Linked DNA regions of Coturnix japonica. The protein of the gene in region 2 purifies or fractionates together with the protein of the main gene of each other region. This does not show direct contact. Links are inferred from orthologs where the notes say so. Each region holds a gene or a part of one and is shown on either strand. Other genes may lie near its edges.

Region 1 (3,813 bases), on a different chromosome or scaffold from region 2:
TTAAGATCAAAGCAAAATTTCTTTGTTTTATATGTATCTAACATTGGACTGTAAATCACCAGTGGCTACTAGTAACAAGGAATGATCCCATGAAAGCTGAATTTGCACACATCCTTACAAGGATTTCATAAGAGATATCATGCAACCTCTTATTTAACCATGATGGAAGAGGCTTGCAGAACAGTAAGCAGCAATTTTAGTTCACCCCAATATTGCTACTCAACAGCCTACCTGGCCTTATAAACAAATGCTGCACTAGTTTATTTTGCACATTTGACAAAGTTTTTCCTCACTGAGTTCCTTGAATTTTGCCATTCTCTCTTCTTTCAAAGAAGAAATAAAACAATCCTTATTATAACAGGCACGAACTGTAACTTCCATCAAAAAATTAGAAAAGCTGAGAAGCAAAGCCATCGTGCTCTTTGAAAAGACACAGTTCTGAGTACCAGCCTGTTTCTAGGCGAGCAGTAATAAGCGGGCACTTGAAAATATTTATAGTGAGATAAATTTAACATCAACCTTTGAGTTGCATAGCTTTATGGTGCATTAGTTGCTTGGCTGTGACTTTCTAAGAAGATAACACTTCTAAATTCAGTTTGTTACTTCACTCTGTACACCAAGAGCACCATTTAGTCTATACTCCTTATGAAACAGCTGATAAATAAAAATGAACCCCAATCGGTTTTATACACAGTTACAATGCACACAGATAGAAAAGCAAATCCAACGTGAATGATGGACAGAAGTACAGGTCTATTAATAGAACTGCATCCTAAAGGTTAAGAACAAAAATAATCAGACTGTTTGTATTTTATACAAGGTACACAGCTTTCTATTCTGTCCTTCGTGGCAATTCAGAGATGACTCATTATCCCAGTGGCATTATATGTGCCATTTTTGCTTTTCAATGCACCACAATTGAGGCTGATCAGTTTTAAAGTTACCTGTTCGTAGAAGTAGAGTGCTCTTTCAAAGTTCTTTAGCCCAGTGTATATCATCCCACCATAGTAGTAATAACATAAAAAGTGCTTTGCATCGTATGCCCCATTTTCTTTACAAATATCCATCATGTCCACATCTAGATATGGGAGGGCAGGTTTAAAGCATTTTGCTAACAAACAGAGCTACAAGAAAACAAATCAAGTTTCTTAAATTAGCTATTTCAAATACCCACAAAGATGACATTGAAATTCAATTCATGTAGTAGTATTTAGTATGCCTCACTCCTCTGAGAGTTAAAGAAACAGTATGTATGTCACAGTAGAGGCATAACATGGATTATACATCGTATTGTGGTATTTGGAAAAAAAACAGATTGTAAACTTCTGGAAATTATGTGAATCCTAAAGAAATCAGACTAAGCGACAAAGCAGCCTGAAACTCCAGGCCTTCCAAACTACCGTGCTGGCAGCACAAAATATTGCACTCAACATTCTCATCCAATTCTAAGTCCCAGGAGCCAAGAATGAGACAGGAGTGCAAATCCAGGCCAAAGACACAGAGACAAACATGCCTTTTGTCAGACTCGAGCAAACAGTATTTGGCCAGTACACTTACACTGTCTAAGAGAAGCTGTGCACAACTTCCAGCCCATAGAGAAGGACTTTCAGAAGTCATGAACAAAACTAAAATCTAGAGACAAGTGCTGAACATTTAATAGGAAGAGAAGGGAGTTTTATTTCAGTATACCACATAACAGACTACTGGAAAAGAATTAAAAAAACCAACATCACAAAACCTAAAGCTTTCTTTACACTGCAATACATGAACATGCATTTATCAAACAGCTACAGGTACTCTACAAGCTTTCACCCTCAGAAAAAAGCCCCGTGTTCCTCTTACCTGGCAGAGATCTGCATGTATTGAGGTCAGCTGGTTTGTGTTCATCTGCATCTTGTCTATGGCTTGTCTGAGAATGCTAATTCCTCGAAGGGGCTGTCAGAAATTACATCTCTTTCAGATAATTTCTCATAGATGGCAGCACATTGGATCTTATGTTGACACTTACAAATGAAAAATAACACTAATTGACAGGTTCCGTTAAGTAATGATTAACTTGTGGTTCCCTTTTTGTAGGACATTGCAGTCACTCAGAAAACACAATAAGCCCATGGTATGTAACTTCTCCTGATCAACTAAACAAGGTCACCAATTCTGCTCCACAAAGACAAGTTCACCAGGAAAACAGTAAACTGTTCTGAGTAAACCTTTTATTGACTCCATGAGTCCATCTAAATTCCTAGCAAATAAAGGCAAATCTCCCACTTCACTTAGTCCAGATTTGATCTCTTCATTCAAGCCAGATTTAACTTACTTTTCCAAGACATTTTCAACACCTAACCCCTAAAAAGAAATGTCCCCTACACTTTAAGGCATTTCATTAAGAACATTGTGTAAGATTGGTGAGAAGAACGCTGAAACATCTCTCTGACTCATTGGCTCTATTAGTTTTTGCAGCTCCCCTCTACTCATGCACACACACCATCTGAATAACAACCCTGGTACACCTGATTTCATGGTGTGAGAGCATGTTTTTAGCTAACTTCCCCCCACATTTTAACTTATATTTTCTTTAAAGAGGTTTTAAAATCGTCTTTTAAGTTCATTACTGCTCAGTAGACTTAACTTACATAAGGAGTCACACAAAAATAGTTTACATGAAGTTAGCAGTAAACCTTTATGAAGCAAGTAATGTCCTTTTTAAGAACATAGCTTTGTAGGCTCCGTATTTGTATTAGATGATATTTGCTCACCTGTTTTCTCTCCACAAGAGCATTTGTTAACTGGTGGCACAGGCCAGCAACTAAACAGAGAAAACAAAAGAATTCAGTAAAACAAGACTACCAATAATACCAACCTATTATCAATATATAAAAAGATTTTTCTATAACAAGCTGAATTAACTTACAAGTGTCTGTTGCATATCTAATGTGTTCCCCATTACAAGTACTGATGAAGAGCTGCACTTGTGAGAATAATGTTTCGAAATCGGGGATGCTGGGCATAGAAAACTTCACAAACCTAAAACAAGACCAAAAAAAGTTTAACACATAACATTCAGAGATTAATTAAAGAAAACCAAAATGTTTTATCTTCAGTCTCTGCAGATACAGGTAACTGCTTGCAAGAAGCGCCAAAGTGGTCACGACAGATGGCATATGATTTCCCCAAGAGCTGCACAGCACTTGGAAGTACACTCTCAATGCATAGTTCTACTATGAATCTAATTAAAAACTAGGTAGGAACTAGCTATGAACAAAGACCTCTTTACCTGCTACAATTATAATCACAATAAATATCTAACAGTGAAGTTTTTAAACTAAACCACATAACTTCTCCAGACACCCACTTGAATGTACCACAGATTTATCAACTATTACTTGATTAGACTTCTATGTCTTGCTAAGAGCTCTTTCTCTTCACTTTCACTTTCTCTCCATCCCTGCTGGTTCCTCAGCACCCTACAAGCTGTAGAGTTCCACGGTGCTTCTCCCATGAGTTGTGATTACACTACCTGTGTGCAATGAGAACTCTGCACGTGGCTTCATGCTTACAGTTTGGCTCACTCATGTCCTGCCAATTAGAAGTCCTGTACTTTTTTGCTGAAGGTAAAAACACTCATACAGGCATAAACGAGAAACAGATACAGCCTTAAGGAAAAAAATCACCATTTGGAAGTGATGATATTTTACAGGCTCCACATTTTTTTTCTGTTGAAAGCACAAATTTGCTTAAACATTTCTTCTAATAAAAGATATATGACTAAAGGAAACTAAGCACTATTCTGCAAGAGACTGAAGAGGCTTGGTTGGC
Region 2 (3,813 bases):
GGGCTCTTTAAAGATTTATGCAGCTCTGCACAGCCTTAAACATGACGTGCCCCCCGGTTCAGTCGGTGTTAAGCATCTCAGCAGTGCTGGGAGCAACTCGTTGCTATTGTGCTATGTTTGTATTCGGGTGCTCTGCTCCCCCCATGGCAGCTGTGTGGGGGTCTCAGCTTTGTGTCCCCCCCCTCAGCAATAACTCTAAGGCTGCAAAACAAACCCTGCTATTGGGGAGGTGTCTCACCGTGTGCTCGTCTGACAGTGATTCAAAAGCTCTCCACGGTTTTATTTTGGAAGCTTTTCTGTGCCTGAATGAGCAGGACGGAGCCATTAAGAGCCGTGAGAGGCAGCAGGGATGCGCGTGCTCACCACCTCTCAGCCCTCCTCTCCTCTTATTTTTAGCCCATGGGCTGATGATGGTCGGTAGGATGTGGCTTCTCGCGCACGCAGCGCTGGCCACGGCTTCCGCGGGGGCAGGCAGTTGCCAAGATTTCATCCTATGCTGAATTGTTATTTTCATTAATTTGAACGTCAGCAACTGTCAGTGGTGAAGGAGGTAAAATTAGCCCTGCAGCTCGCCCTCCATCCTCAGCATCCAGAACGGCCTCCCGGGATTGTTCTTTTTTTTGCTGGGAGGAGGAGATAGATGGGCACACAAAAGATGGTGGGATTGTTTCCCCCCTCCCCAGTCCGAAATGTTCATGGCTTTGGTCAGAGCCTGCCCAGGGGAGGGGAAGGACAAGTGCTCAGCTGTGCTTTGATTGTGGGTGCTGGGGTCTCCTGCTGCAGCACCCAGCCCCTACTTGGCACTGTGGGGCTGTGCCAGTGCTGCTTCATGTGGGTGCTGGGCTGGTCCATTGGATCCCTACAGCTTCTTGGGGCTGAAGATGACTCTGAATCAAGAGACCTCAGTGTTGTCCCTTCTTGTTTCTGAATGATTTCCACACCTGGAGGAGGATGCACTTTGGGATGCTGCCCCATGGGAAGCAGGAAGGAGCAGAGCCTGGGGGTACACAGCAGGTAGAGGGGACCCCCAGCCCCTCCCAGTGCCCCCTCTGCCCCATGTCATGGGGTGAGCACTGGCGCATGGAGCTGACGTTGTGTTCGGCCTTGGAGGAGAAAGGATGGAGCATCCTTTAAAGAAAATTATACATAATCATCTTACAGCTCTCGCTTCCACTCAAACCTCTGAGTCATAACTGAAGGGCTCTGGAGCGTGACGTTCCCGGTGGAAGGAAATTGCAGTGGCTGGATCCAGTGTGGGGGAGCAGGGGACCTGATGAACCCTTCCATCAGCCCCATGGGGCTGCAGGGTGATGGGAGTGCAGTGGAGCTCTGGGTTGTGAAACCCTCTGTCACTCCCCAGGTACAGGGACAGAACAGGACCAGAGCCTGCACCAGCTGCACAGCACAGGGATGCCTGTCCTGGGGGCTCTGTGCCCCCAGTGCTGAGTCACTGCATTGAGCTGGGCAGATGGAGAGGGCTGTTATGGGGCAAGTGGAGCAAACCGACCCCATCTGCGTGTCCCTTGCTGTGCCTGATCCCTGCAGCAGGACAGTGCCCTTCCCGCAGGTGGAGCAGTGTGAAACCTGCTCACCCTTTGCCTTCAGTTTCCTTCTTCTCAGTTCTGAGTGATGCAGAGCACAGGGTGGCCGTGGTGCTCCATGCAGGGAGGACGCTGCCATGGCCTCACGTTTCCTTCCCTTGCAGGACAGGTGCCTGAGGAGGAGGCAGGGCAGAACGGGCAGAGCCGAGGCCGGGGGCTGCCCAAGGCCATCTGCATGAACGGGACGGAGCCGGGACAGCTGAGCACCAAATCCAAGGCGGAGCGCAGGGCCAGCGCCTCCTCCAACCCCTCACGCAAGGCCTGCTCGGCCAGCAGCAAGATCCGCAAGCTCTCCACCTGCAAGCAGCAGTGATCCGGGAGCACCACGCTCTGCACAGGTATGGGTCGGGATGGGGGCTCAGGGGGTGAGCCCTCTCTGTGCTGCCAGCATCACTGCCTGGTGCTCTGCAGTGTGGGGTGGTGCAGAGCCCCCCCCTATGCCAATGGGGGTCCTGCTGTGCTCCTGCATGTAGCTCTGCTCTGTTTCCACCCTCCATGCTGCTTTTAGACCCCCCCCCTCTAGCACTGGGACCCCCATTCTCCACCACTCGGCAGCATTGCCGCCCTCCTGCAGGCAGGGAGCAAAGCTGTGATGCATGGAGGTGACAGCAGAGCTCTCCTGGGGATGCTCCAGGGGTCTCCCCTGTCCCATGGGCAGCTGCAGGACTGTGCTGGCTATAGCTTTGCTCAGACCCCCCCTATATCTTGCTGTGATGCTCAGGGATGCTGAGCCCTCCCTGCTCCCCCCCCCCTTCATCCCTCCGGCTCCCTCCGCATCCCCATCCTTTCCTTTCCACCCCTCATTCATAAATGAGGCAGCGATGAGTCAACTCTCAGTGCTCATCCACCCCCGGCCTCACGCTCACTCTCGTCACCGGCTCTCCGTGGGGCTGAAGCTTGTGTTATCTATTTGGATCACGACCAGCTTTGTGGTGTGAAAAGGAGAAAAAAAAAAAGCCAGAAATAAAAGCCCATTCCTCCCCCTGCAGCTGTCAGACCCGCACTCGGCTTTAATCTTTAATTCATGGATAGGAGTGAGTCACCTGTGTGGGGAGGCACTGTGCTGCCAGCGGATGGATGCCTGTGCTCAGGGCTCCCCTGGGAGCTGCTCTCTCTGCCCCACAGCTGCTCTCTGCCCCACAGCTGCTTGCTTGGGGCTCAGCCCTCTGCCTAAAGGGGGGGGTTCCCATTGTGGCTGGGGCTCCTGTTTATATGGGGTGGGGGCTGCCAGGCTGGATGCTGCCTGCTTCCAACCCTGCCCTCCAGTCGGTGCCATAAAACCTCTCAAGAGCAGAAAGCAGCTGTGAATGAGGTCTGTGGGCTGTGTTTTCCCTTTGGGTTCAGCAGGCTGTGGGGCACACCGGGCCATCCTGACCCTTTCTCTCCCATTCTCCCACAGTGTCCCAGCATCCTCCCCCCCCTGCTCAGCACCTCCTGGGGGCTGGATGGGGTGGGGGGGGTCCAGTCTGTGCTCACAGCCTGAAGACCCCCACCAAGGAACCCTCCCTGCCCCCCCTATGGACAGCACCCAGAGCCCAGCGCTGCGGGGAGCCCCCACCGCCCACCTGGGATGGAGGACCCCGACTTGGGAGGGAAGGGGGGGGGGGGAAAGGGGCACCCCCCCCCTCCCCATCACTCTTTGCCAATCAAGACACTGATTCTCTTTTTAATTTCACAATGGAAGGGTGGGATGAGCGGAACTGGGGGGGGGGGGGGGGGCTCCCCCCCCCCCCCCCCCCCCCCCCTTTACCCTGGCTGTGTAGAAGTCGTGCGAAGCCATTGCCGTGCACTTTATGTTTTAGACTACTGTTCTATATTTTCCTCTTTTATTTCTCTTTTATTTTGGGGGGGGGAGGGTTGTTGTCGTTTGTTGTTGTTGTTGGTTTCGTTCCGTTGATCTTTTTCGAGGTATATTTCGACATATTTCCTACACATCGTGAGGTGTTTCAAATCCAAACCCAGATTGAGGGAAAAAAAACAACAACCAAAACCAAAACCCGACCCAAGGTATTACAACAAATCAAAGCTCCATTCACCCTGCATGCTGTAAAAGGGCTCAGAAAAGGGAATGGGGGCCTTCAGAGTCTTCTTTTTTTTGTTGTTGTTCCTTATTTTTTCTCTTTTTTTGTTGTTTTTTTCTTTTTTTTTTTTAAGAAAAAAATAAAGTGAAAAGTGAGAGGTGGGTTCCTGTCCTTCCTCTGCACCCTGGGGT

Evidence for each region.
Region 1: the proteins of STK11 (region 2) and COPS3 purify together in Homo sapiens (affinity purification with mass spectrometry; 5 studies listed by BioGRID and IntAct, with this or other methods). This does not show direct contact. The link is inferred for Coturnix japonica from reciprocal best matches to the Homo sapiens genes STK11 and COPS3.

The regions. Positions count from the first base shown.
Region 1 is NC_029529.1:4,775,440-4,779,252, forward strand, and holds part of COPS3 (COP9 signalosome complex subunit 3), read right to left. Parts: intron 3,022-3,813; coding exon 2,909-3,021; intron 2,804-2,908; coding exon 2,754-2,803; intron 2,004-2,753; exon of another isoform or gene 1,936-2,003; coding exon 1,843-1,935; intron 1,125-1,842; coding exon 945-1,124; intron 1-944. UniProt on the Homo sapiens protein: Component of the COP9 signalosome complex (CSN), a complex involved in various cellular and developmental processes.
Region 2 is NC_029543.1:2,093,963-2,097,775, forward strand, and holds the end of STK11 (serine/threonine-protein kinase STK11), read left to right. Parts: intron 1-1,705; coding exon 1,706-1,914; 3' UTR 1,915-1,939; intron 1,940-3,000; 3' UTR 3,001-3,777; downstream 3,778-3,813. UniProt on the Homo sapiens protein: Tumor suppressor serine/threonine-protein kinase that controls the activity of AMP-activated protein kinase (AMPK) family members, thereby playing a role in various processes such as cell metabolism, cell polarity, apoptosis and DNA damage response.